Linked DNA regions of Drosophila melanogaster. The protein of the gene in region 2 purifies or fractionates together with the protein of the main gene of each other region. This does not show direct contact. Each region holds a gene or a part of one and is shown on either strand. Other genes may lie near its edges. The genes, in order: RanBPM, CG14995 and Kaz.

Region 1 (12,287 bases), on a different chromosome or scaffold from region 2:
CACCACTGAGAACTATTAAAGACCTACATACCTGCATGTATTTTTCTTCCTGTTGTGCCATAAAAAGTTAATTACTGCAAAATAAATATTATATATTCTGAAACTATTAATTAAAGACTTTCTTATTTTAATAAATATTATTTTGTCAGCTTTGCTTTCACAAAATATTATTGTCGATTTACTCGACTATCCATTTTTCAGCTAGTTGGTGTGCTAGCAATATATTTCAAAATTGCAAACAAATTATAAAAGCAAGAAAGAACGCTATAATCTGATATCCGATTCCCAAATAGCCTTGCACAAAGGTCATGAATCTACAAATGTCACCGATGAGGAGTAAACTATGTATGTAAGTACCACAGAAAATTATAACATTTTATTTATCTTATCACCTTGTTATACTACTTCGTAAATAAATTATAATTACAAGTTTTTAGTGTACAATAAAGATTGTATTTAACAGAACAGAAGGCGTTATGTATTTTATATTATTTCAATTTTTACTGTGCACTTGCTTTGTGTAGTCTTATAGCCGGTTACTCATTGAAAAGTATATAATATAGGAAGCATTTCCTTATTTGAATCAATTGCAGTGTAGATTTGGCCATGTTTGTCCGTCCGGCCTACACACCTTTTAAAAATGATTTGATTTCTTTTCATTATTTTATTAGTCTTGTAAATTTCTATCGATTAGACCGAAAATAACTCATAGAAAAATCTATTTTTGTAAAAATTTAGGTTCCGCTGTCAGAAGTGCGATTCAGGATATTGTTTGTTATATTTCCAAATTGATCACTCGAATGAGACCCTTTTTTGCTCGTACCACAAAACACCAGGGTGGCAAAACTCTCGGATATTTTTTATTTATTTTATTTTAAAAAACACCCTGGTGCCTAGACATCCATATTTTAGCGGGTGCACTTAGAGTGCCAGTGGCTTGCACAAACCTGCCACGCCCACACTTATATACTTTTGAAAAATGTGTTGAAATTTAGTATATATTTATATTAGTCTTGTAAGTTTCTGTCGATTTGCAAAAAACTAATTGCCCAGCCCACTCTAACGCCCTAAAGCCACCAAACCGGTCACACCCACACTATTAAACAATTTTAAAATTTATTCTCATGTTATGCCCCAATATCGATATCTCAGAAAAATGATGAAATTTCGCGTTCGGTATCTGATAGTCGGGGTGTTCGACTATAGCATTATTTCAAGACTAAAAATGCATTGCATTATATTACCAGTAGAGCAATTTACATATGTAACAAGTAGAAAGAAGGAAGCGTTTTCTACCCTATATAGTATATATATTCTCGATCACGATTGCTAGACGAGTCGATTTGGCGGTTTATGTCTGTGCGAATGAACGCTGCTATGCGACTTTCTTTCGATATTGCGAGACAATTTTTTCATTTTATTATATTTTGTAAAAATATTCATTCGCAGTTTTGTAATATTTTGTGAAAGCGAAGCTGACAAAATAATTTTTATTAAAATAAGAAAGTTTTTAATTAATAGTTTCAGAATATAAAATTTTTATTTTGCAGTAATTAACTTTTTATGGCACAACAGGAAGAAAAATACATGCAGGTATGTAGGTCTTTAATAGTTCTCAGTGGTGCGAACGTAGTTTACTCCAGATGGCATGGATACTTTATCAAATCCCTTGGGGAAGAGTTTATGAGCCTCGTCATCGGTGACACTGGGCAGGATCATGACCTTAGTGCCAGGCTGTTTATGAAACAGAATTAATTAGTTCGGAACAGTTCGCATTAAGTGGGTAGAAAAACTTACGGTCCAGTTGGCGGGAGTGGCCACCACCTTGAGGCGATCAGTCAGCTGCAGGGAGTCAATGGTCCTCAGAATCTCGCTGTAAGATTACAGGATCGTCAGTTGAGATTAACAATAGTTGTAGCCAGAAAGAGGTACTTACTCAACGTTGCGACCAGTGGACATGGGGTAAAACATGGAGAGGCGCACCTTATGGTCCGGACTGATGATGAACAGGGCGCGGATGGTCTTACCCACCTCGGGATCCTTCTTCTGCTCCTCGTCGAGCATGCCCAGGGTGACGGCCAGGTCGCGAGTAGGGTCGGCGATGATCGGGTAGGGGAAGTCCCCGGGAATGTCCAGGCAATAGCTCTTGATGTCGTTCACCCAGTCCACGTGCGAGTTCAATGCGTCAACGGAATGCGCCAGGCACTTGGTGTTCCGCTTGGCAAACTCCGGCTGGTGCACCGCAATCCTGCCCAGCTCAGTGGTGCAGACGGGAGTGAAGTCGGCGGGGTGAGAGAAGAGCACCACCCAGCTGGCGATCCGAAGGAGAATTGGTAAGATTCGATCAGAGAAAAAGGGTTTGATGGCACTTACGAGTTGCCCTGCCACTCGTGGAATTTAATGGGCCCCTTGGTTGTGTCGGCCTCGAAGTTAGGTACGGTCTGTCCCAAACGCATCTTGCTGTTTGATTTTTAGTTTCACTTGGAAAAAAACTTGTTAGTTGCTCAGCTGGTAGCTGTTATTAGCTCGCACACTTGTTGCTTACTGAATACTGACTGGGAGAGCTCGCTGTCTTTTATACCCGACTGGATCAATTTGATGAAAGGGGACCGATAGAGACAGAGAACGGGAGCTGGCTTATCGTATCATATATGTACATATGTATGTTTGTATGTATAGTACGTGGTGCTGCGGGTAGACTAACAAACAACTCAGTGATAATTGGGGACATTGTGAGGGGAAAGATGAGGCCTCGTACGGGGTCTCCATATTTGTGTGAACCTCAAGAGGGGCCTTAAAAAAACCTGTTTGGGGCGTCACACAAAAATGGACTCTGTGACGAACACATTTTAGATGTAACGCAAAATGAAGTACAGTTTCGCATATTTCTTTTAATTTAAACTTGTTCGAATAAATCAATCAGTCCAGAACCAATTCCTTCAGGATCTAGTATCAAAACAGCTGATTTGATGCAGTTGACGGTTTTGCCGGCTCCAAACATAAACAGAGAGCGAGAGCGCATTTAAATGTTAAATGGTGTTGGTAAACAGAGGCGAAGCACCAACACCTGCAAACATACAGCCACGCCGATAGGCGGATATTGAGAGCGAGAGAGCGGCGAGCAACGTGATGGTATTTGTGAGTGCCTGCAAAAATCGCACACTTCCATAGATCGCACGGCTCTCCCGTTCACGTACAGAAAACGAGCCTCTAATTGAAAGTGAAGAGCGAGTGAAATCGTGAGACTGTGTGCGTGGGTCTATCGAAAATTAGCACACCAGCATAGGTTTTCTCTCAGTAAGTCACACATAAAGATGGAATGGATTTGGGAAGTCGGATGGGCAGATCGCTCATTCAGAAGGCAAAAGACAGTACGCATGAAAGCAGCCCAAATAGGAATCATATGGTTAAAATTCAATATCTAGTCATAATGGATACCAAAAATGCAACAATTGATAAGTTTAATTAGAAGAGTTCCCTCCCAGTAGCTCGATCGTGTTTCATAAGTTACAAGTACAGTTTTTGTGCTAGTGTATAAAGTCTAATCAAGAATCCAGCAACATTCGTCTCTACACCAGACGTGTGGTAATTTTCCACTGTTTATTATCAGTTACGTGATAGGATTTCTATTCGGAAAGGAAGTAACTAAAATACAGAGTGAAGGTTGAGGCGAAACGAACAAGAACGATTAGAAGAGTGAGATAGAAAGTGTCAAAGCATTTGAGAGAAGCCGTAGAGCGAACCGGTAAATTCTGCAGCATCGATAGTCTGTCAATCGAATCGAATCTTTTGAATTTATGGCGGTTTTTTTTACCAGTGCAGCGATCTCTTAATTACATTCTGGGCAGAGTACTAGAAATCACTAAAGTTTTTTGCGCTGATGCATTTTTAAATCTGGTTTCAATGTAAAACGCGTATGTTTGACATTCGTCATACTTTTATACCATAGGCAGAAGTTTCTAAGTAATAATTGCCCTTAATATTCTTATCGGTATGGCGTAAAGTATGCGCTAAAAATAGATAATATGATCTTTTTTTATAATTTAAACCAATATTTAAAAGATTAAATTAGCATTAAAAAACATAACGAATTACGTAAGGTTTAATTTTACCCAAAAAATAAGATTGCTAGCAATAGTGCAATAATACCCTCCAAAAGTATTGTCAAGGGTTTTACCTAAAAACATTTTAAGATTTTAATGGCACTTTGGGAAGTGTGTTACTGCTTATCAAATTTTGAATTTAGGCGCCTAAAGAGATTTATTCGATAAGAATAATCGATAGCTGCCGAGCGCACTCTGATGTTGTCAGGTGTCGGAATAGATATCGATATCATCGAATGAACATCGGCTTTTGTTCCAGCTCTATAGCATAAAGTCAAAACTTCGTAGATTTAACAACTCATAGCAATCGTTTGAAGGTAAATATAAGGAAATATCAACTGTAGATCCGATCAACAGCATAGAATGACAGCCAAATCGAATTCATCAGCTAAATAAAACCCCAACAAAGATCATTTGCCCCAGCTAAAAAAAAATGATAATTTTCTTCTCTGCGTGTGGGAGCTGCGAGTGTGTGTGCTTGCTGCATGCATATATGCGTGTGTGCGAGAGGGAGAGAGTGCTGCCAGTGTGTGAGCTGGTGCTTGTTTGTGTGTGTGTGGACAGTGACTCGTTGGTTAGAAGGGAAAACAAAGAAAACTTCAGAAAAGTACGACGTAAAAAGGCATTTACAAATGTAGAATAATCAAAACTGACTTGCTAGCAATGTTAAAAAGTGCAGAAAGCATTGGCTAATATCGTTTGGCTATTGATTTTTTGCATTTTCGTGCATGCAATTTTGTAGCTGTAGTTGTTGCTGTTGTATTTTTTTGTGCTGCAGCTGCGCGTCGCAACTGTAAACTGCTGTTGCTGTTGTTGTTTGTATTTTGGGTCAGTTAACGAAAGAGAGTGCACGAGTGATTGAGAGAGTGCGAATGAGGTGAACGGTGTAACGGACAAAGGACATTGCATTTTGGAAGTTGTTTGTGTTTGCTAGCCTCCTTACCCCTCCCTTCGTCACTCCTCACGTATACACACACAGCATCTGCATATGCACTTCATCCGCTCTCTCTTGCTCGCTCGTTGCTGGCTCACTCTCTCTAATTCCTCGCTGAACGTCTCTCTCTCAGCCTCCTTTTGCAACCACAACAAGATAAACAACAACGACAACTCAACCATAACATGGAGAACGTCGAAGAGGCCCCGCCACTCTCTTCGGAGAGCAACAGCAATAGCAACAACAGCAGCGCCAGCAGCAGCTCTCACCAGCTCTCTCAATCGGGAGCCATGGGTGCCGAAATAGCCCCCTCTACGTCTCGGTCACACTCTCATTCGCCCACACCCTCGCCGCCCGTCCCCGCGTCCTCTCACGACCAACCCCATCCCGATCACCCTAGTCCCCCATTGAATGCATCTGAAACGGAAGCTCGCGAGAATTCACCACATGATCACTCACCCACTCCTACTTTCCACCAGACTGCACCGCCACCCACGACTTCATCGACGGCACCGCAGCGGGACGAGCGGGAGCAGCAGCAGCAGCAAGAGGCGCCACCATTGCAGCAGGATCAGCAGGAGAATTCGCCCGCGCAGGACCAGGAGCTGCACCCATTGCTGGATCAACAGAATCAAGAATATCCCGCAGTGCACCAAGATCAACAAGCGGAGCAAAACCAGGAGCTGCATCACATAGAGGGGCTTATTCGGCACCGAGAATCACAGAATCCGGAAGAGCATCCACCACAAGCATCGCTGGAAAACCGGGAGACATTAGGACGAGAAGATACCAACCAAGAACCGGATGAGCCGCAAGTTCGAGATCCCGAAATCGAACCAGAAGCCGAGCCACCGCCACCGCTGCTTCTCGAAGATCTGGACGAGCAGGACTCCGGATCGCAGGATCTTAACGAACAGCAGCCGCCACTGATTATAGACGCAAACGCTATAGCCGAGACCATAGACGCCAACGCCGTGGAGCGCATCGACGACTACGAAGACGACGACGAGGAGGTGGATGAAGAGGAGGAGGTGGTAGAGGACCGGGTCGACAGAGCCGGCGAAGTCGCTTCCGTTTCCGGTGCCCAGCGCCTGCACTCGGTGGCCGTTTTGCCGCGCTACTCCTCAGCCTCACGAGCCCCAAGGAGCAGCAACAATAACAACAACAATATCAGCAATCACAACAACAATAATAACAACAGCAACAGTAACAGCCTCTCGCGACGCACTCGTCACTTCTACAGCAACAACGGCAGTCACTTCAGCAACGACATGTTCCCCAGCCACAATCCCCGCAGCAGCACCCAGACATCATCGCCGCGGGTCGGTGGTCGCCGCCATCACTCGACCCCCGCCGCCAGCTCCAATTCGCCACAGCACCAGGGCGTGGATCCCCTAAGGCTGCTCTATCCCAATGTCAACGAGAGCGAGACTCCGCTGCCCAGGTGCTGGAGTCCCCATGACAAGTGCTTGTCCATCGGTTTGTCGCAGAACAACTTGAGGGTCACCTACAAGGGTGAGTAGGATTCGAACTTCTCTATAAATCAACTCTCCATTTCATACCATCTAAAATAGAAAGTAGGCAACGATCAGGCAACTATAAGATACAGATTTCTTAGGAGCTGTCATAGTTCAATTCTAAATCGGTTTCATATTGCCACTAATACGCACATTTCAATTTCGCAATGAAATGTAATAATTAAATATGCACTTACATAGATATAGTTACATAGATATGGAATAAATTGTAATAAGTTTGTCTACGCTGTAGCCAAGTATGAGTATCCAGGTGGTATAAGTGCCAGAGTTCATGGAGTTTATCTTTATTACAACGATTTGACTTTGTTCTTACATTTTCAAATTTGTATTGATCTAAAGCTAAAGAGACAGTATACAATATTTTAGCCCTTAAATCAAAACACCCGAATATAAGGCTAGCCCCTACTAAATTATTACTTGCATAGTTATTAATTGCATTATCGAAATTATTATTTATTCGAAATCCCATCCACAAAATCTAATATTTGTCTTGAAGGATGTAACTCAATGCAGTAGAAAGAAGAAGAGTCGTAGTGCAGCTGCAGTTTTCACTCTCTTTCGCTCTATCTCGCTCTGGCACACACACGCACAGGGCACAGACAGGTGCTCTCAGCTGTGCACTGGTGGTTTTTGTTTTTCATAACCCACTTCTCCCACGCTCATTCGCGTGGCTGTTAAACCGCTAACAGCAACAGCTGGCTTACCAGTGCGACATAACATGTAAAATGCGCGTAAAATGTATAAGTTATTACGTAGATGGTGCGTTGCATAGATGTAAAATGTATATTTAGGTTACTTTAATTTCAGGTAAAATATATAACTCAATAATTCGAAATATTTCATTTAAATTGATAAAATGTCTCATTATTGTTTCGACGTAGACTTAGGCCAAAAATCAGTTTTTTTATTTAGAGTATCAATTTTATTATTTTTATTGTCCAGATAACCAACTCATTCATTTATGTTAAGAACATATCCCATGTACTAAGTTCGAGAGTAGGAAGTTCATACCGAATGGATAAAAGAATATTGTCTTACTGCAATGCTATAGCATATAAAAATTGAGATCTGTCAAATACTGAAACCTCATGACTTTTTAGGTGTGGGCAAGCAGCACAGTGATGCCGCCTCAGTGCGCACTGCCTATCCGATCCCGTCCTCCTGCGGACTGTACTACTTCGAGGTGCGGATAATCTCCAAGGGACGCAACGGCTACATGGGCATTGGCCTAACTGCCCAGCAGTTCCGTATGAACCGCCTGCCAGGTTTGTGTTCCATTGTGCTGCTCGGCGAGATGTGCCCATGATTCCTAATAACCGCACCCCCCCTCAAGTAGGTTGGGACAAACAGTCGTACGGGTACCACGGCGACGATGGCAACTCGTTTAGCTCCTCGGGAAATGGCCAAACCTACGGCCCCACTTTTACCACCGGCGATGTGATTGGATGCTGCGTCAACTTTGTGAACAACACGTGCTTCTACACCAAGAACGGAGTGGATCTGGGCATCGCATTTAGGGATTTGCCGGTGCGTATTCAATGGAATTTTAAAACTACTTTATCTTCTAACTTTATGTTTGTTAATCTTTTTTTTTTTTGTTTAGACTAAGCTTTATCCCACTGTGGGCCTACAGACGCCTGGCGAGGAAGTGGATGCCAACTTTGGTCAGGAACCATTCAAGTTCGACAAGATCGTCGATATGATGAAGGAGATGCGCTCCAATGTGCTCCGCAAGATCGATCGATATCCACATCTGCTGGAGACCCCAGAAAACCTGATGAATCGGTGCGTTTTTGTTAAATGTGTTTAAAAATCATGGCTTAACCCAATGACTTCTAAATTGCTTAGCCTGGTTTCCACTTATTTGGTGCATAATGCGTTCAGCAAAACCGCCGAGGCCTTCAATGGCTACACAAATCAGACTTTCAACGAGGACTTGGCATCGATCAAGACACGTCAAAGTTCGTATATTTGCCATTTGAAATGACAACACACATGCCAACTTTAAATCCACTCTTCCAGAGATCATTAAGCTTATACTGACTGGCAAAATGAGCCAGGCCATCGAACATACACTACGTTCTTTCCCCGGACTCCTGGAAAATAATAAAAACCTCTGGTTCGCATTGAAGTGCCGCCAGTTCATTGAGATGATCAATGGAGCTGACATTGAGGTGGGTTTTTAAACATTACATGCGGAAGATAAGTAGAACCGGATGGTTTGTCTTACAGAACGTGAACAACAAAGTCACCGCCACCACACAGACCATGCCCACAAACCAGACGTCAGTGATACAGTCCACCAAGACGTTCAAGCACAGCAAGAGCGGCAGTGGAAATGGCAACGTCAACATAAATCAGACTCAACAACAGAACAACACTGCGATTCCAGCTGTGATAAAGCCACAAGGCGGCGATAGGCCAGATATAAAAAAGTAAGTCAAATGTAATACTTACTCCGATCTTTAATCACAACGTACTGTTCAAGCATGTTGGTTGACGACAACTCCAACAAGTGCGTGGAGCACGACAGCAACAGCATGGACGTAGAAATGGAGCCCTGCCAGAGTCACTCCAACGGCGGCGACTCGAGCTCCAATGGCAATGCCAGCGCAGTGCGCAACTCTCTAGATGCCATCGACGAGGAAATGGGTATGTATCTATTGGCGGCATTTCCGGGAAGATCCGTAATCCCTAGCACTTGCAGATGTAGATGTTTCCCCCTCATCGCGTAACTGTGGTCGTGTGATCGAGAAGATCCTTGAGTTCGGCAAGGAACTGTCCAGCATGGGCCAGCAGCTGGAGAAGGAGAACCTAATGACTGAAGAGGAGCGTCAAATGTTGGAGGTAAACTATAAAAATGTATAAACAATAGAAACTGGTATCTTGCAGACTAAGCACTCTTTGTATTTGAAAAATAACTTCAATAAGAATATGATTATCCGTAATCGAGAGATATTCAATTTATGGTTGTTACAGGATGCATTTAGTCTGATTGCCTACTCTAATCCTTGGTCCAGTCCGCTGGGCTGGTTGCTGTGTCCCTCGCGACGTGAGAGTGTTTCCACCACACTCAACTCGGCCATATTGGGTAAGTCTTTAAACACTTGTCTCGAAACGAAGTTACTAATTACTATGATTATGCAGAGTCCCTGAACTTCGAGCGTCGTCCGCCGCTGGAATACCTGGTGGCTCACGCCTCGGAGCTGATCAAGGTGATCGGACAGCACTCGCTGGGCGAGGACGCTTTCATTACCATCGACGATGTGTTCCCGCAAAATTGACCCAGTTCCCCGACGCTGCTGAAGATGTTCGAGACCACGCTGACCCTGCCGCGAACCAGTGTGCTTACGGAACCGTTGGGCAGCGCCGGAACCGGATCTGGGCCCTCCACATCAACGGCTGCCGTGGCAGTTCAGACCAGCAAACGACGCCGAAGGCGGCGTAACAAACGTCGCCGCAAATCCTCCCTGTCCAGCAATACCGATGCCCCGTCGTCGCGGACCTACGATCCCGTGATGACGGGCAGTACGCTCCGGTCGGCAGCTGTGGCATCGGTGGGCGGGGGCACGGGCACGGGACCAGTGCGTCGGGGTCGTCGCAGGAGCGGGGTCAGCTCATCTTCATCGGCGGCAGCGGCTGCAGCAGCGGCAGCGGAGGAGGAGGCGGAAGAAGCGGAAGCGGAGGCGGCTCGCCAGGAGGAGGAGGAAGCGGAAATCTTGAGCGGAAACAGCAGCCCATCGATGTTCGTCGATCCGCAGGACTTCTTCGAGACACTGGACTAAATTTAGATTATTTACAATTTGCAGTAGGTTAAATTTTGTTGTTACTTCCGTTCTCTTTCTTTTTTACCTGCGCAACCGGCTTCAGTGCGCCTATTTAAAACTAATCGCCGTTCTTTTAATTGTTCGATTATGCTAAAGATGCTATGCGTTTGGCGGCCTTTGATTTGGCGTGATTTTTAATAACTTTTAACATATATTTTATATAGCCTCTCTAAGCATAAAGTGTGTAATATTATGATGTATAATTAAATTTGCGAAATGTGCTGCGACACGACCCTTGAAATTGAATTAGCCCTTTGTTTTTCGCTTCCACCGCCCGAAACACAACAATCACACACCAAAATATAATCTAGAATTGATAGTGAAGGGACTAGCCTGGAGCAAAAGCTGTTCAATCATCTCCTTAGCATGTTAATATAGAACCGAATCCATAGTTAACTGGTAGACATTCGCGTTTTAATTCTCCGTGTTTTCAGCGATTTTCGATGGACTCCGCGCCATCCCGTGTCTTGTGGCAAGACTAAGCAAAAGCAAATGAACATTTTAAGTGTAATGTTTCGCTATAGTGTTTAAGCGTATTAAAATTTAATCTATATATACAAGATTGGTCATACACACATTCGGCAAACATGAATAGAATTTAACTGGATAATCGTTTAAATATATTGTATGGATGTGTATTTCAGGAAAGCGAGAACTGTGTTTTAAAGGGGGTTCAAATTGGATTAAATATATGCCATTCTGACAATGTGTTCAGTTTTATATATTAAAATTGTATCTTTTCAAATGTCATGATTTGTTGATTAAGCTGAAGTTTTCAACAAATAAAAATAAAAATGAAAGCACATTCAAATTACCAAATCACTTGCAACCGTATTATTTATTATTCCGTATAAATGATCGTTTTTAAATACCAGGTAAAATGCAAGTTCAAGTCATTGGTCTTTTAAGGATCAGGAGTAGAATAACACATTCATTTAATACATTGTTTTGTATGCTTATATATATAATATAGTTTATAATGTTCACAAATCCGGCTGCCTTATCCTTTGCACTTTTTCATGATTTTTGACGTGCTCCTTTAGCAGACGCATTATTTCGGTATCGAATTGAGGAGGTGTTGGCTTGGTATCGGTGGCCCAGTAGAATATATCCCAGTCGTTGCTGACACCATTGATCAACTGATCGTACTCGGCGGTCTGCTCGGCATTGAAGTCCTTCAAATGCTTGGCCACAAAAGTGCTCAGCAAGAGATCGTTTTCCAGCATTCCGCGTTTCCTGCTTTGATACAAAAGGCTGCACAAGATAATGAATGATCATAAGTAGGAGTTTGGGATATTTTCATTTTAAGCGTATACCGCTGCTTGCGAGTTTCCAGCGGCTCATCGGGACGGACAGGATATTCCGGAACTGGCAAATGCGGCGGATCATCGTAGTCCACAATTTCCCCGGGTGTTGTGTACTCAGTTTTGTCCAAATTGCTGGCGAGGCGACTTTGGGCCATCATAGGTAGTTGCAGGCGACGGCCTACCGTAGATACCTGTGTCCAATTAAGCAATCAATTATATTTTACTACATTTGGGGCCATAAACTTACTATAAATTGCCGCAACATTTTAGGAAACGACCAAAACAATGATATAACGACAGTGTTGGCTAAGAAAGTTAAGTATAATCGATAGATTCCTGCTATAATAATCGGCTGTTGCTATAAATAGTGCTGGAAAGTGCACACTTTGTTGAATTAATCATTTATTTTATTTAACCGTTCAAACCTCAGGCGAATTTAAATTAAAATAGTTGTTTTATTTTAAATATGAATATATTTGGGAGAATATGCACTGCAATTGTTATGAAAGGTATGCGAATTTTTAATAATTATTTGCAATAATATAAATAAAAAATATATCTCTATTTGTATCACTTAA
Region 2 (9,368 bases):
TACTTACGACTGTAGCAAATATTAAAATGCATTTTTTTTTTTTTTTGATTATAGATAATACTTGGAAGTGGTATTTATTTGTCATGCGCTATTCATATCTGGCATTTTCCTTATTAAGAGTCACCCCGTTAAATTAAATCAAATTGAAGATTTCGCCAGCCATTGCGTGAGAAGTTGCCCCATTCCGAGGCACATACGTAGCTTTGGGTCGCGGCCATCAATCAATGGCGTAGCACGGCACGCCTATAATCTCGAATCCCCATATATACCCACTGTACAACGCCGTGGTGCGCTTATCAATCCAATTGAGTGCGCTGTTATTAATAACAATACCCGTGCTTTATATTAAACGCGTTGACTGTTGCATCAACGCCCCTCAGAAGCACACAGCGCGTCAATAAAAGTTGGATGAGTAATCCCAGTGGACTCGGGTTACCAACTGCCAGTGGAATGCATATGTAAAAACAAACAAGCCAGCCACCATTTACGGTCATTAAAAACATATAAAATAATTTATTCTGCTTATTAATTTGTTTAATAAATATACAATATATAAAACTGCGGGTTAGTCGCGCAAGTCCGCACAAGTGTGGTAAAAAATGGACTTAAGTAGTGTAACTTTAACGCTGTGTTAGAAACAGACAACACAGAGAACACAGGACATTGACTTGGACTTGTTTTGGGTTAAGATTGCTCTGGCGAAGGCACAACATCGTTATCATAATCGTTATCAGCGTGGTGATTGTTATTAGTCTAGAATTCCATTTCCATTAACACTTATACACGAACGCTTTCGATTTGGGTGGGTTGACTGACTGGGTTGATTAAAAATGTAGGTAATCGTTGGACAACTTCTTGGACAACTTGGACAACACAAATTTAAGAGACTTATACTTATAAAGTTAATTATTTTTTTTTTTAGGTAAATGCCGACAAAAGAAAACCAACTTCTGGTGTCGGACACTAGTCCGTCAAAGTTGTTTACAAAATATATACGTATTTAGGTTGATAAACCGAACAGAAAAAAAACATTGAGAAACTAACAACTAGAGTTACGAAGAAGTTGCTTGGTGTGGTCCACAGATTACCAGTCAACCCATAAATCAACGCACCCTACATTAGGTAAATATATGTAGATAAAACTGTAGAACATGCGACGAGGTTTGTGCTTGGCACTCAAGACTCCAGTCCAATGCTCCAGACTGCGCCAATCCGTTTACGACCAGCCGCCCGTCAGCTTGTGGAACATCTCCTCGTTCAGCGTCTGGTTGTTCTCCTTGGATCGCATGGACATGAATATGTAGCCGCCGATGAACTCGTGCACCACCTTACAGTCGGCCGACTGCACGGAGAAGACGATGTTCTCGTCCTGCAGCTGAATCATCATGCACTTGATGCCCCAGTTAACATTCCAGGCCTTCATTGTGTTGTAGCGCCAGGTCTTTATGTGATCGCCGGTGTTGAGGTCCATGCGCATGATACGATTGTTGGCCACGCCCAACAGCTCCTCCTTCTTGTGTCCATCGAACTTGATGATGAAGAGAGTAACACCGAAGTCTGGTAGAGATTGCCAAGCCTGGATGTACTTCATCTTGGCGTCCATTAAGCTCAGCTGGCGAACGTTGGCATGGGCCTCTAGGATCCTCTGCACCGCCTTGCTGGATAGTTTGCGCATCATTTTGGGCGATAGGTAATCCATGGGCTCAACACTTCGCGGGTTGACGGTGAGCGGAGCTCCCTGGGCGGGTTTCTGCATCTGCAGCAGCGAGCGAATACTGCTAACTTCGCTGTCGTAAGAGCTATCGGCTAGAGAGCGACCCTTGGCGGCCAGACGACAGGCTGCCATCCACTTGGCGTACTGCTCTTCGTTGTCGCATCTCACCCAGACCTCACTGTTCGGACCATTTCTGATCTCTGACGGAACTTCCAGACGGATGGCGAACTTTCCTTGGGCCAGGTTAACATCGGGCGTCACCTCGCAGCCCTTCAAATTGATGCTGATGGTGGGAGCTCCCCGCCTGGACTCATCCTGCGATTTGTAAAGGTGCAGATGCAGATCCCTGTAGGTGAAGAAGTAGCGCTTGTATCCTTTAAGGGTGAACCTTTGAGGCTTGAGGAATTTCAAATAGTCCGACAGCTCTGGTATCCTGGTGATGTTGCCCTGATCCTTGCCACCTCCTGGTCCTTCGAGTGTGATCTGCAGCTCGTTGAGAGCGGAGTCAATGTCGTCCTCGCCGCCAGTCTCCTGACTGGAGGTATCTATTCCGGAATCGATGCCTGGGGGATGCAGATCCGTCTGATGATTCACCTGGAACTGCAGGGCGGCAAACATGAGGGTCTCCTCCTCGGTGGGTTCCAATTCCTCGTTCAAAATGCTCCATTTGGCTTGCTCGTACAGTTGATTGATCCTCACTTGGTCGTACTTGGGGTTCAGATCGAAGAACGTGAAGTATTTGAAGCGCAGGCACAGAGTGTCATACTCCCTAACTCCCTGCTCCATGATGGAAAGGGACGAGTCCAACCATCCCACGTTGAGACGGGCTTTCTCCACCCGGGACTTGGGTCGAACCAAGCGTGCTCGTACATCCGGACTGGGCGACCTTGGCGACATGGCCAGATTCTCCTGGAGGTCTCCGAAACTAGAGTTGGAATCGTAGCTAGCATAGCCAGTGGAGTTGTGCTTCCAGGTGCCCGTGGGCGAGCTGATGGGTGTTCCCGGAGCAGTGGCTGCCCGTCGGGTATACGGTGAAGCCGGAGCGCACAGCAGATTGCCATTGTGCGAGCGATCCAGGCTGCCATTGCTACCGTTATAGGCTCCTGTGATCGGGACAAAGGAGTTGGTGTCCAGCGCTGGCTGCACGTATGCGATTCCATTTGCCTCCGCCACCGGAATCTTTCGCTGCGGCAGCTTGGAGAAGTTCTTCTTCAGATGCTCCGGTTCCAGGGGCTTGCAGAAAGACAGTTCCTCCGGATAGCGAATGTCCAGGTCCTTGCACAAGCTCACAACGGCTCCGAAAGTTTTGGCCGAAAAGTTGACGCGGTAGTCCAGATAACGAAGATCGGGCATCTGCACCCTCAGTGTCTTGTGCATGGGCGTGAAGTGCAGAAAGGAATCCGATTGAACTCCGGCCTGGTCCAAAGTGGACCGCGTCCTGGTCAGCCAGATATTCTTGGCGGGCCACCACAGGGCGTGATCGGACCAATCCTTGGGCAACTCCGGATCCACCAGGTTCAGCATTACGCCGCCAATGTGCTGGTCACCCTTCACGCGCAGCGTCTTCTCCACCTGCAGATCCGTGATGAGGATCCGCAGGTTCCACGTATTTTCGCCCACATGAATCATCTTTCGCTAAAAGTTCCGATGCGCGGGCGTCTCTTCTGTCCAAAGGCGAAACTATAACTGCGGGTATATTTGTATAGTGTATATATATGGCACAATCAGAGTCTAAATTTGCCCTCGAAACGATGACGTAATTCAACTTACGTTCAGCACCGTTTTTGCAACCAAGTTTTTGTTGTTCTTGTCGTTGTCGTTGGCTGGCGGGGAGCGGAGAGGGGGGGACTGCGACTGTGGCGGTGGCGAAACTATATAGGCCCTTATCTCGCCAGATGTTTGCACGGAAACAGAAACGCCAGCGAAACAGACCCAACAATCCAACAAGCCGAGTAATCCAGATCAAAATCGTTGGATGTAGAGATGGTGGTGGTATGTATGATGATAAAAGGGGGGGAGAGGCGGGGATGTACGGATCACTTGATTAACACACGCCCAAGGTTACGATTTTGATGGCTTGCTTGCTGCTGCTTGGGATGTTTTGTTTTCCCGATCTCTCTAGCAATCGCAATTCGCAGCGTTTTCCTCGCTCTTTTCCTCGCACATCAACACACCGACGAACACTAATGCACGCGCTCAAAAATGCGATGCAAATTTTCACAAAACAACACGTCGCGGGCGACGAGACAAAGCGAACGAGCCGAGATAGAGAGAAATTAATTTATAAATAAACCAGCAGCAGAGCAGTATGACCGTTTGTCTGCGCATATCGATGGTTCGCGCCAGCGAAATCGAACTTATCGGAACGGATGGTAAGAAGTATAGTTTAAATTTTGTTAAAAATTACATCGAAAATTAAGCAATACCATTTACCGTTAATTCTCGTGCTTAGTTTTTTGTTATTAAACTTACTGCAAGAGATATTAACCACCATACATTCTTATAAATTCTACTTTCACAATTGAACCGTGGATAGGGCATACCTAATACATTAGATTCGCATGATTTAATATAATTCGTATTCGACTTGAAACGAATTTGTGTATGGCAATCTATTGTATTGTATCAATTGTATTGTATCATAATATCGGACAGGCAAAGAACAATGAAGTCGTGGAGATTGGCACTATTGTTCCTCATTTATTTCTTCGAATTGGCTTATTCCATACGTACCTGTGGCCCAGGACGAGAAAGGAACTGTCATATTAATACTAAGCAAAAATATCAAAGGCCGAAACATTATTAACGTAACCACATGTTAACAGTAAGCACATATTTTAAAATGAGGGTACAAATATGAAAAGTGTATCGATATTTATTTTTTTCCAGAAATGGGGGTCACACCGGCCCAATGGTCATCTCTAAGTTATCGTAACGAAAAATATAGTTCTGTTGTTTTAATAATTTTAGTAGAAAGCAAATCTGCTATTATGAATATCAATTTAAATTAACGCATGTTCCAGTTAACTAATTTGTTATAAAGCAAAAGTACATGCATATATAAAAACAATACTGGTTTTTCTCCTCCTCTCTCGCTGTTTCGCTCTTTCCGCTCTTTTTCTCCACACCGCATTCGTAAACAAAGACAATGAAAGCTCCAGTTGAACGGCTAAAGAGGCCTCAAAGCCCCCAGATTGTTTTTCGCCGTTGAGCCGAGCGCACGTATTCGAAAAAACAACTAATAGTGTATAATAGTGCAGTATTGTGTAAAACACGCGCGTCTCTGCTTTCTCGCTCTGGCACCCACCCATACACTTTCGCGTGCCCATACACACATACCTGTAAGAGAGCGAGATACGAAAAACGGTGCATGGAAAATAGGAAAATCGGAACTGAAAAAGTCGGAATTTCGTTTAATCAAGTTAGCTGCGCGTACTACTGTCAGTTTCGAATTGAAAGTGCCGGCCCAGGGTTTTTCAAATAGTCATATCGTTAAGAAATTCGAAATAAGACACACACCCACAAGTTCTCGGACAAAAACATCTCGGCACGAAAAAATCGATGCAGCAATGTAAAAATTTGACAAACTCCCGTACCACAGAATGAAAGCAACAATTGAGTTACACACATATACATAGTGTAGTTAAGCGGTGTGTTACGTTCATATACATACTCGTAACAATAATAAAAAAAAGCGCGGCGCAACAACCCGAGCGGCTTATTCATCCATGCAGGAGATTCGAGATACAAAACATCAGATACAATAGCAAAACAGCAGTCTAGCATCGAAATTTTAGTCAGTTGAAAAAAACCGAAAAGCACAAGAAATTTTCATTTTGTTCGGTCCCTTAACGATAAATCCTAACGTTTTTGGCAATTAACGAATATTGTAGCTGTGGAAAGGAGCCACACTACAGCAAATACACCAACATTAAGCGGTTGATAAACCCGAACTCAGAGCAACTTGAAGACTGGAAGACATACGTAATTACAACAAATTGCAGCAACAACAAAGCAACGCCTACGACACGCCAGTGATTACAACAATAATAGCAGCAAAAGCAAAAACGAAATTATTTACCACAACAAGGCATAACCTGTTGTAGCTATTTCACTGTACTGCATTGTTGCTCACCTCTCGGCATCTAAAATTGGGCATTCACAAGCGGCTTATAGTAAATACGCGTTTAACCATCGGCTGTGAATACACAATCATTATATAGCCGGAATCTGCAAGTGGCACACCTGTGGCCACGGGTCAGTTGAACACCAGTTGGAGCAACAGCATCGCCATCATCATCACCATCACCATCACAGCCACAAGTACACACAATGTCGAGACTCACCGAGGAAATGGTGATAGCGCGGGCCAAGCAATCCGATTTGTCCCTGATCAAAAAGCTAAATTGCTGGTAAGTAGACAGCCCAAATAACTAGAAATATTTATAGAATATATCATCATATCATACTGAATAACGAAAGGAATGCTTGCATTAGTGCAATAACTAGATTGTTTGTAAATTTTTAGTCAGCGGCATATTAATCATGCTTTAGCAAAGTTAGGACGACTAATTGTTTATTATTGTTCAGACTCAACCCACTGTTAATTTCATCGATTTTCGATCTAATTTTCGCCTGTGCATTGATCTATTGCTAATCGTGCTGGGGCAGGTGCAGCCACTATAGTGAAAGCTTCGATCTGTGTTGAATGGGTCTGCGATCTGGTGTCTGGGGTTTGGGGGATCTGCCCACTTTGCTGCTCACTTCGGTCGCTCCGGCTGCTTTCACTCGACCCAATTCCAGGGGCAATCTTCTAACCAGTTTAGAAGTGTCCACTTTGGAGCGAGTCACGATTTCCTGGACTGGAAAAACACGCGCCCCTCGAGAAAAACGGTTGGAAAAGCGTGAAAAGCAGTTGAACTACTTTCCGTGATGGGCCCCCAACTCTTGACCCATCTGCGATAAGCGTGTTGCCTGCTAAGAGGGCTCCACTGTACATTATTTATCTTTATTAAAATGCCATCTATTCTGTGCTTATTTCAGGGGCAGTGATCTCAGCGATGTGTCCATCATCAAGCGAATGCGTGGAGTGGAAGTTCTGGCTCTTAGGTAAGTCACAAGTCGTGAAATATTTCTTCTATAAGGATCATTTTGATTTCCTGACTCGGTGCCTTTTGATTGATACAAAGTGTGCGGCTCGCCGCCGAGAGAATGCGGTAGAGATATATATATTAAAAAGCTAGCGAGATATTTGCTTTCCAGTGATGTCATCGCCCCATCATTAGGCAAGCTCAAATACGAAAGATACTTTGGCACGCTCAAGCGCGTAATTAATGCAAAAAGCTGGGGACGCAGAAAACTACAGAAAATAAGCTAAAAGTCGTGGGAGCTCCCAAATTGGCAATAGCAACTGGCCGCGTACTTTTCCAAGTCGCGTAGGCCACACTGCGTAGTGGGCAGATACTATAGTTATGACTCGTATCTGCTAGATACTTTTGTATCTCGCTGTGCCTTGTACCTCATCTGGTACTGCTGGATACTTGTTGTACTTGCATGTCGCTCGATAAGTTTGCATGTGCTGCTGCTGCTGCTGCTGCTTTTGCTGATTTCGCCACTTTTGCCATAAAAGGCGACAATCATTTTGACTGCCAAGGTCGCCGAAATCCATTTCACCCCCCCAAAAACTTCTGTCATCTGTTGGCAATGTGCTGAAAACTCTCGACTCTTGCGATTCGTTTAATTATGCATAAAACAGATATAGATGGAGGTGCATATATACAAGAGTTCGTGGCCTTATAGGGAGATTTGGCATTGAACTTAGGGGAAAAGAACCGTGAGAATAACAGGAAATAATAATTTAGGTATGGGCGAATCAGCTATTTCAGATGAAGCGAATAATATGTCGACCCAGTGAACAGGAAGCTATAATTATGGTATTGAAGTTGTAGATATCGCACCTTAAACAGAAATTAGATCTTATATATTTATTTCATTAGAAACAGGAAATCCCAAAGGAGGTGTAGTAGTTATCAGAATAAGAAAAAACCAACATTAAGCAAATATGGATATCATATATATTCATGGGGTGAAGTAAAGTATAAATAAAATAACCTTGAACATGAATTGACACCGATCTTGATCAAAAGCAAAAGTGCTCCTTTTTTGGCAAGTTGTTTTCGTATCTTTATTTCTCAATGAGTCATATAAAAATATATGTAAGTCTGTTAGATATTTGAAAAAATATTTTTTCTTGCTACTGCATTGCTAAATATGTAAACAATATGTTCTTAAAATAATAGAAGCTTATCTTGAGTACATTTTTGTGCCCTAAATTCGCCAAAAAAATAGAGCTTTTGGGTTGCTTCTTGAAACTGAATTAACTTGATAGCTCTGTAGGCACTTCTATTATCAGGAAGCTATTACCGCAATCGAGAACTACTCAACTGTCGTAGAGCTACATATATCAGTCTATAGATAATGGTACGCGTTTCCTATATACAAACGTGAATGAATAAATTGATAACAAATTGACATGGCAAGCGTGTAAGCCCGAGGGCAATAACTTCTTATAGAAGTCTGCTCTGTTTGCATTACTTTACGTGGTTAAACAATATACAAGGAAAACCTTTCAGTCTCAAACCGATGGATAGTAGTGTTTTACGTGGGGTTCCCTGCTTTGTGGAGCATTTGTTGTGCTAGGCGTGGAGTAGTGTTCGCAATGAATGAGCCATAAATCAGATTGGTTTACCATACTTCAGGTAAAATGCGTTGGCGTAGTCTCCATTTCTTGGCAGTATACTCGCCCATTTTGCTCATTACCATTTTCCTACCCATTTCCCTGCGTTGCATGAGTGTGCATATTGATTTGACTTGCGTGCTGCAAGCACTTTTCTTTTTACCTCCCATATTATTTCCACATTCGGTGGTAGGCCTCAAGTGCTAGATAACCTTGACTCTTCAGAGGAAACATTGATATTATGCATACTTAAGCAGTGGCACTCCTGCTTCTGGTCCTACTCCCGATTGGCCTGATTTATTTGGCGAACTATTTATAGTGCCACGAATTCCAGATACCAGACATTCACTAAGGCAATGCACTCGTGTGCCATTTAGCGATCTTCCTGGCTAAGTTTAGACAGTTGGTTCTGCCATTTCCCACACTGCGAAATAGGAAAAGATGTTTTAGGTGTCCACACAGGGAGAAGAGTATATAGAAAGTATATAGAAATTCATTGAATTGAGAGATTCTCTCTACATATCTATGATAATTTGGAAATACAATTCGCTCAGTGTAGAAAAATATATTTTCTTTACCTATTCAATCAGTTGGGTGGGCAACAAAATCATGGCACGCTTTTGGCCATCGGCAATTGGCCACTTCAGAGGGTAATTAGCATTGTTGGGAGTTCAGGTGCTAAGCGGGTATCGCCCGGAACATGGGGAGGGAGGTTTAAACCTGACCTAGACGAAGACAAATGATGACAATCAGCTTTTCCCCCTGCCGAGATTCTTTAACTGTTATTGGTGGGGTATTCTGCGAAGAATCCGACGAGTTAATGACCAGCACGCAGCTGCCGGAGAATCTTTTGTGTGTCTTTTGAGCATGAGTCACGGCAGTTAGTTTGCTGTCGCCTTTGTCCCGCCAAAGAGAAAG
Region 3 (8,633 bases), on a different chromosome or scaffold from region 2:
ATAATTAAGGGTACATTTTTTGACTAAATTCAAAGAAAACAAGAGAGAGAGGGATCACAACGATAGCATTCGTAAGAAACGATAGCATTCGTCGTGATCCCTGACTATCAGATACCCGTTACTCAGCTGGGCGGTTTGAAAAAAAAGTTCGATAGAAATTTTTTTTGTCTACGTCTCTGAAATCTGCGGGCCCAATCTTTCTAGCTTATATAGTTCCTGAGATCTTGAAGTTTATACGGGCAAAAAGACAAACGGACATAACCAGATTGACTCGTTTATTGATCAATAATATCAACATGGTCCGAATAGTTTCTTTCTGCCTATTATATACTTTTCAACGAATGTAGTACACCCTTTTAGTCTAGTAGTAACGGGTATGATTACGCAAAACACTTATTCGTACTGGCAAAAAAAAATTTTTCATGTACATACTGTATTCCCCATGTCTGGCCGATTGGCATAACAGTTGATATATATTTAACAGGAGGACGACTCCGAAGATGAGAACTTGAGCAACGACCATTCTGAGCGATAGAAAGAATCTAGTCATTGGTGCCTTGAAAAACAAGGTTTATATTGTATTTTATATGTAAATAAAAATGTTGATATAAATAAGTTGATAGAAACAAGAGGTCAATTAGGGAAGTCTCAAAGTGATAATATTATTTGGAAAAAACACAATTCCCCCATGGCACATAGACGTAATTTCATTTCTTACGAGTATAAATGTGTTTATATTTAGCATTACATTATAATTATTGGAATCGAGACAATATGCATGTATATTCGACTGTTATGTATTTGCTGGAATATGCTAAAATATTTATGCTATCTTCTCTTGGACTAAAAATGCACAAACTGAATGCTTCACTTCCATCAGGAATGCAATGCAGGCAGCCCAGTCCCTTAACTGGTTTGCATCTAAAAGGTGGCCCGTTCGCGAAGTTGGCCACAATGCTACAACGCTCAATAGCTTTGGACAACTTGCTCAGGTTCTGCGGTTTGCGGTTGCGGTCGCATCGTAATCCATCGCTGAGTATTTAGCAGGTGCAGCGATTCTCGCCGGAAAGGCTGCCCAGACTGAAGGTTCCTAGGCCATTGGAGCCGGGTGATTTCTTGTCTTTGCTCTCATCGTTATCAAAGTTGTCCCCCTGGGAGAAATGTGAAGGATTTACCTATTAAATATTGGGTTATTTTAAAGCATCTTACCCGCCGCTCCCTTTGCTCGCGGATTTTACGGGCCAGGGACAGGAAGGCATCTTCGATATTGATGTTGGACTTGCAAGACACTTCAAAGAAGGGCATATCGAAGTTTTCGGCAATCTGGAGAGAGCATAGGATGGTGTTATTGGTGTCGATGCTGCACTTCCTGCAGTCACTTACCTTTTCGCCCCTCTCCTTGTCCACCATGCGCTGGGTGGCGGAGCACTCGCATTTGTTGCCCGCCAGCACCTTTACCACGTCCGGCGAGGCGTTCTCCTGGATGTTGCGTAACCAGTAGGACAGGTTGTTGTAGCTCTCCAAGTTGGTCACGTCGTACATGAGTAGGATGCCCATGGCGCCCCGATAGTACGCCGTGGTCAATGTTCGGAATCTCTCCTGGCCAGCCGTGTCCCAGATTTGCAGCTTTATGGGTACTCCATCGAGGTTAATCAGCTTCTGCTTGAAGTCAATGCCTGGGAGATAAAATGTGATGCTAGTGGGTTACTGCACATAACAGCCGAGGTAGAAATAATAGTTTTCAAAACAAATGGAAAACGTTAGGATTTAAAAATTCAAAATCAATCAAAATCAAACAAGTGTCCGATTTCGAAAATAGTAAATAAAAAAATTTATTTTCAAATTTGAAAATAGTATTTTGGGGTCTCTACTCTACTCTCTACTCACCTATCGTAGAGATGTATGTGTCGTAGTACTTTTCATCGCAATATCTGTGAACGATGCAGGTCTTGCCCACATTGGAGTCGCCCAGCACCAGAACTTTATAGGTGGCCACAAAGTCCAGTGCCATGTTGACGGAGCTGGCGGAGTTTTCGTTAGGAATTATAATATCAACTGCGGAGGTTTTCGGTTACAGATGGGTTGACGTTGTTGTTATTGGTAGTTGGGTGGTGCAAGTGGTGGTGGTGGTTCGGTTTTGGCTACGAGGGGTAGTAGCGGGCTGCAGCTTGTGCTTGTTTATGTATCCGCTGGCCTGGCTTGTTTGTTGCTGCTCGCAGCTGTTCCAGATCGAGTTGCAGCGGCGTCACACGGATTTGTTGTAAATTTTCACAGTTTCCACAACAGAATCAGCTCGGAGCTCATGCTAATTGACAAGTAGCTTCTGGCATAAGTCGTACGATTTAACCTTTATTTCATTTGTATTTTAATGTAATATATAAGTGGTGTTAGTTGTGCATAGTGTGCCACTTCGGAGGCGGAGTCGAATTACGCCGTATGCGTGAATCAACCTCGAAGCACTGACTGCGAAACAAACCAGCCCGTGGATGCGGAGTGGAGTCAAATAATCAATAGACCTGCGCACGCGCAGCAGCAGCAGCATTCAGTTGCCGAATAATCGAAATCGGAATTCAAATCGAGGGTGTTCGCGGGTTCTCTAGCTTATCAATAGTAATAATATTAGACATACAATAGATATGAAGTTACATGTTCAAAAATAGAGTTGTTCATTGCTTAACTTAGTGCGGTTGGGTAGGAAGAGGGCGTCGAATCCAGTGCCGCTTACATCACAAAGACCTTTTCGACCTTGGGGTTGGAGAACTTCGTATTGGTCACCGGACAGGTGACGGTACCGTCGTCTTTGGTGATGTCCGGCAGAGCCATCTGACCAAAGATCTGTCCGTTGGGCAGCATCATCGGCTGATTGTGCTCGTTGAGCGGCAGCCCTGTGACCCGGCATATAAGACGGCTCTGCACACAGTGCGAGTATGGCAACTTGAGAGCGATGCGGTTGAGATCCTCCTGACACACCGGGCAGTTAAGGTTACGGCAGGTCTGAGCATAGCAGTGGGGCGTCTTCAGGGCCGACAGACCGGCCTGCACGGCTGCCGAGAAGACGGACGTGCTGGATAGCTGGAAGAGGCGGTAGTTCTCTTGACGGAAGTCCAACACCAACTTTTGCCACCGCTGCGGATCCATGTACTTGCGGTAGTGCTCGGCTTGGGCATCGGCCGGATAGGCCAGCAGGGCCATCACGTGGCAGATCTCATTCAGCTGAGTCTTCTCGTATGCGGGGAAGTAGCGACGCGAATGCTTCACAGCCTCAAAACGCTGATTTTGACGCACGAGCTCGATGAACTCTTGCACCCTCAGGCTGAATTCAATGGTCGAGTTGATCTTGCGGAGCTTAGACTTATTGTCTATGCACCAAAGCACGCATTTGGTGGTGCTGTGACTGGCCAAGTCATCCTCGACCTCGCGCGACGTCTGAAAAATGTCCAGGTTGGTCAGGTGGCGCACATCGGACTTGGCGGCCAGCTCCTCGGCCGTTTCATAGTATCCCATGCGCAGCAGGTGCTCGATGACCAGGCGGTCTAGTCGGATCCGCTTCCATTGGTCCACGGAACCCTGCCACAGGTCGCCTGTAACGCTGCTTGGCGGTGTAATGCCCTTTAGGTGGTCCAGCTTGCGCTTGCAGATCTGTGTGACGCTCAGCTCATCATTGATGCTCTCCTCGGCCTTGCGCTTGAGCACCTGCAATTTCTGCGCTACGTTATCCACCAGCTTGGTGACCTCGGCCAGAATGGGACCCTCCTCTGCTTCTAGGGCCTTTTCCACCTGACGCGATACATTGATCACCTGGTCCACCTCCCTGTCGATGATCTTCTGTGCCGAACGGAAGCGCTTGTTCAGCATCTCGTATGGCACTTTTAGGGTGGCGTGCTCCAACGCCTTGATCTCGGACATTTTTGCGTTTCGGTTGCGATGCAATTTGGTTTTATCCTCTTTTTAGAGACGCAATTGCGTTTTCTTTTCCTTCTTTGAATTGCTTTGTTTTGCTTCTGTGGGCTAAGAGTTGCCAGACTGTCAGCAGTCAGCTTAATGAGCAAAAGGTGCTGTTCAGTTAACTATTTTCTAACGCTAATTATATGATTACTAATAGATGTATATGAATATGATATATAAACAAAAGTGCGTATATTAAAATCTTATTGATGGTGTCCTTCTAGTGCCGGGATGCATAGCAACCGATTTCATAATGTTTTAGAAGTTCTATAATATTTAAATAAATTTAGCTATACTTCTGTGTGTTTTCCCGTTAAACTTCTAGGCAGCTCTAGCAAAGTGTACAGCGCTGTTGCCGCACTGTTAACTAATAACAGCTGATTGAAGCCCAGTAAACATAAACAAATGTTTTTCTAAACATTTTTCTAACGAATTAAAGATAATAAATATACATAATCTCCTTGGGATTACATAAAGACTAACTTGGCAAAGTAAGTAATTGAAACTATTACCTTACCTATATGGCAAATGAAAACTAATTTTAGATGGTTAAAGCAACTACCAGAGGTGCGACTTCCAAAGCAACGAAAGCTGGATCAAAGGGAGCAACGAAGGGAACCAAGGATAACTCCAAGCGATATCGTGACAAAATCAAAAAGGATCCGATTAAGTATCAGGAATACCGAGCCAGAGAAACCGAGCGAAGTAGGATTTATCGCAGCAAACTGAAGGAAGTGGTTAAAAAGAACAAAAAAGTTTTAAAAACAAAGCGAGAAACCGACCGACTTAGACAGCAAAGATATCGGGAGAAAAAGAAGGAGGAGCTCGCCAATCAACGATCATTGGAGGAAATGCTGAAGAAGCTGGAAAAGTCACTCCCAGCCAAGATGTCCCGAAAGATTGAAGTGATCAAGCTATTGTATAGCAAATACGTTGAGCCTGAAGTCAAGGAATCCTAAATTCCTTTGATTGTGGTAAATTCTGAAATCTGGAAGAGCTGTCTTTAGACAAATATAAATATCTACAAGATTAGGTTAAGTATACATTTTTTTAATTATTAAATGGTATTGCCACATATCTAAAGGGATTGTTTAATGTCCCAATGCAAAAAGTACTTTTTGAATAAATCTGAATAATAAAAAGTATTTTAAAGCAAATAATTTGTAAAGATACTATAGTTCAATTCACGAGGCAGTTACTTTTATGGTATGATATTAATAATTCATTTCGTTTCATTTCATGAAAAAGTGATCTGCAAAATTCTCACAACTCTTTATGGATGATTCATTTTGACCATACACTAGCCGGCTCACTCTAATTTCTTGCAATTAGCATTACGACTAGTTGGAGTTCGAGAGTTGACCTAATGTGCTCCGCCATGTAATTAATACGTCTGCTGGAGGGAAAAGTAATCACGAGTCCATGCAAAATTGCATAGAATTAACCTCCTTTTATGGTACATTGACTTTCGTTCACGTTCAAGTGGGCCCCGATAATTAGTCATAGATTAGGTGTAGCCGCCCAGGTGTACGTGCGAAAATTGAAAATCCATGAAAACCTGACCCATGTCCGCAGGCCAAATGCTGGGACTTTGGTAAGTAATTTTTCATTCCCGGGAACGGAAGTTACTCATTTCGGGTAAATTTGGGACACGTGCCGTGCAAAAACGCGAAAACAAACAAATAAACAAACATTTTGTTGGAACATATGTCCAGGATGTGAGGTGTAACTAGTTGGATTACAATAGTTCGACATGAAAGTGTTGGATTTTGTCAGCATTTGAAATTGAGAAAATTAACGTCCAAATACTTTGAAATATATGTTTATTACATTTGATTTAACTAACATATTTATTGTGAAGGATCTTTTTGGACTATACATTTCTACCTGGCTGCAGGAACCTTATCAAGATCATCCTAAGACTTCCCTTTCCCAAACGGAGCATAACCAATATTTAAAACCCATTGCATCCGTCCTTCACAAGCAGTGATTATTCCCAAAAGGTCAGGCGCTTACATCGAGATTTCCCTAATGACAAACAATTGAAAATTGCATGTCTGAGAAGTCCTGGGTTCCTGGGTTCTGAAAAATTGCATTTTAATAATACAACCGGCGGGAAGGCGATTAAATTCAGGCACTTCTTCAATTTGAATTCCAATTACAGAACGTCACTCAGGCCGACTGACTTATACACTACCTGATCCACTTGACAAGTTCACTGCTCCTGGGTGACACAAAAACTTATTAGAATAACTTAGTGAGCTGCATTTGCATTGCCATGGTTTTTGCAGGTGTCCAGTTGGTGTCGAGCAAGGACTCCATGCCCGTGGAGAACCCGCCTGGGGAAAGGGTGGGTCAGTTCGGATGGTGCTAGCTGCTAACCTAACCAATTGGAGCTCGGTGGTAAAGCCGAGAGAGAGCCGAGCCGTTTGGTGATGTCATGGATTGCGTGCAGCGGAGCCGTCATCAATGGTCCTTCTCTTCGGGACCTGCTACTTGGGCAATTTAGTTGTAGATGTTTTCGGCCCTTTTGGGCTACCATAAGAAATGGTCGTAACCCATAATCAGTGCGGCTTAATCGTGTTCCACCGCCGGGGCAGCCTACGGCACTCCATCCCAGAAGTGGAGGGCACCTCCTGCTCCTGCCCCTTTCCTTCGCTGCCGTTTCCTTCCTCACTGACCACATTGCTTCGCTGGCCTGCATTGATTTTTTTCGCGCAGAAGTAGGTACTCCATTCCGGCGTTTTTCGGGTTTTTATGGTCACCTCTAGAACTTTCACTTTTTGATGTGCGTAAATTTGCATATTTGTCGGACGCCAGGAAGGGTGTGTGCACTGACCACTCCACTTCATCTGACCCGATCCCTTTCCTCAGTTCTTTTGGGTGAGTAATGAATAGCGTCCGATGATGATGACGCCTTGGATAATGAGTTTTTGGCTTCGCCTTTAGATAGGTCACTGGAAACGTCATGTATTCATCGAAATTAAATGGGTAGACATTAAATTTACCAATTAATATTGTTGTGATCCTCCAATTGTATGGCCCTTTCGGTAGAGTTTCTGGTTAGGTTTCCCAGTTAATAGCCTCATAAAAGATATTTTACGATCCTTTAGTTCATATGCATTTAGAATGCTTTTGTCTGAAGCGGCGACCATTTTTGCAGTTATTGAATGAAATGCGGCTAAAAAATAATTGGATTGTGTTAGCGGTATGACTTTTTATTGTTTTTCTGATTGCCTTACGCTTATATAATTTTAACAATTTCTTATGTAGGCCAAACAGACCAACATTACTAGTTGAATATGGTATTAGAATGTATAAAATTCTATGACTTTAATGTAGATCGTGTACAACTGTTTACCATCCAAACGACACTAAATTCCTCGACATTTCTCAAAATGTTGCTATAATTATAATTCCTTTTGGGGATTAAGAACCTTATGACGTCCTAACCTGACCACGCATGAGTTATTAAAATAAGTTCGTGAGCACCAACATTTCGTAGGTATTTTTATGTTTTCACTAGCCTGGCGTCGCCTTTAGTCCTTTTAGCCAACATGACATGCGAATTGGCCAAGACGAAAGACCCCCAAAAGTGTCGCCCCATTGCTAAAATCAAGGTGTGCATTAACAAATGAACTTGAAATAATCGTTATACGACTGGCCACCCATATATTTAGCATGCATTTAGCTGCATTCAGCTAGCTGGCAATGTGGCAATGTGGCAATGTGTCGAGTGATAAATTGGGAAAGTCATGGAAAGGTTATTTGGTCAAGACTTGGCCAACAGACAAGGCTAAAACAAGTAACAGCGGCTATCGAAGAGCTCGCCTTGCGGCGCATGCAACATTCGGGGGCAGGAGCTGGCAGTCCTTTAAGGACTAAGCCATGTGGTGTGTGCATGTCCTGGAACGCACGAAAACAAACTTGCATGCAGTGAGTGAGGTAAGTGAGTGTGTGTGTGTAGCCGCAATTAGACGTGGCCATAATGTGGAATTAAGTCCCTTAAATTGGCATTTTTTCGAGGGCCTAATGCTCCGCACTCTGAGTTATAATCAGCAGTAATATGATGACCTCTGGGCATGAGTGTACAGCTCGATGAGATTTCGTGAGAAAATTATATATCGCTGGTAGAAATTCTACAGTCGCACTAATTAATCATCAGTTAAGAGCAAAAACATGACGCCCAAATTGTTGAAAGCGAATTAGTTCTTTAATTACGGTGGTCTTTCGCATTTTCCTTGGAGAGGGGAGGGGGAAAACCCACTGGCGGCGCCTACGATTCGCTGCAGTTTCTGATTTGGCGAAAAGATTTCGTGAGTTTTCCATATAATTTTCCTGCTTGTTTTCCGTTTCTCTGCTGTGCCCGGCAACATTTATCAATAATGTCAAGAAATAAATATCCGAAATAAATTTCAGACTCTGCCGCATGGCGAATTGAATGGACTGGACTGGCTGAATAATAATTAAAGGAACTTATTTTTACATGTAAATATAAATATTTTCCATTCCGAATGACGCGGTGCGGCGGGATTTGCGTAAATGGAGAAAGTACTATGGAATAAATCATTGTCAAGTCGGCAAATCTAGAAAAACAATTACGAAATCCAATATAATTAGTGCCTTTTAACTTATTTAAATAATTTTAAGTACATCCAATTCTTTAAAATGACCCACGTGTCTTATAA

What was found.
Region 1: the proteins of CG14995 (region 2) and RanBPM purify together in Drosophila melanogaster (affinity purification with mass spectrometry, with the first as the bait; one large-scale study listed by BioGRID). This does not show direct contact.
Region 3: the proteins of CG14995 (region 2) and Kaz purify together in Drosophila melanogaster (affinity purification with mass spectrometry, with the first as the bait; one large-scale study listed by BioGRID). This does not show direct contact.

What each region holds. Positions count from the first base shown.
Region 1 is NT_033778.4:10,425,364-10,437,650, forward strand, and holds RanBPM (Ran-binding protein M), read left to right. Parts: upstream 1-4,348; 5' UTR 4,349-4,420; intron 4,421-4,641; exon of another isoform or gene 4,642-4,710; intron 4,711-5,170; 5' UTR 5,171-5,222; coding exon 5,223-6,552; intron 6,553-7,675; coding exon 7,676-7,840; intron 7,841-7,908; coding exon of another isoform or gene 7,909-7,911; coding exon 7,912-8,102; intron 8,103-8,178; coding exon 8,179-8,360; intron 8,361-8,423; coding exon 8,424-8,536; intron 8,537-8,597; coding exon 8,598-8,749; intron 8,750-8,807; coding exon 8,808-9,010; intron 9,011-9,063; coding exon 9,064-9,227; intron 9,228-9,273; coding exon of another isoform or gene 9,274-9,282; coding exon 9,283-9,422; intron 9,423-9,554; coding exon 9,555-9,666; intron 9,667-9,722; coding exon 9,723-9,859; coding exon of another isoform or gene 9,860-10,360; 3' UTR 10,361-11,218; downstream 11,219-12,287. Other genes in the region: Prx6b (peroxiredoxin 6b), read left to right, coding at 1-19; CG12896 (uncharacterized protein), read right to left, coding at 1,606-1,734, 1,798-1,873, 1,937-2,311, 2,374-2,456; CG12895 (uncharacterized protein), read right to left, coding at 11,386-11,656, 11,719-11,900, 11,957-11,974. UniProt on the Drosophila melanogaster protein: May be involved in JAK/STAT signaling. Isoform D is required for the proper arrangement of niche cells and is autonomously required for proper niche cell size, isoform C negatively regulates the adhesive properties of the niche.
Region 2 is NT_037436.4:4,098,235-4,107,602, reverse strand, and holds the start of CG14995 (uncharacterized protein), read left to right. Parts: upstream 1-4,642; 5' UTR 4,643-6,046; coding exon 6,047-6,126; intron 6,127-6,388; exon of another isoform or gene 6,389-6,422; coding exon of another isoform or gene 6,423-6,607; intron 6,608-6,757; coding exon 6,758-6,823; intron 6,824-9,368. Other genes in the region: Fit1 (fermitin 1), read right to left, coding at 1,217-3,343.
Region 3 is NT_033777.3:24,825,949-24,834,581, forward strand, and holds Kaz (katazuke), read right to left. Parts: upstream 4,012-8,633; 5' UTR 3,907-4,011; coding exon 2,722-3,906; 3' UTR 2,331-2,721; downstream 1-2,330. Other genes in the region: RabX4, read right to left, coding at 1,041-1,151, 1,210-1,323, 1,384-1,676, 1,888-2,011; CG43273 (uncharacterized protein), read left to right, coding at 4,491-4,904.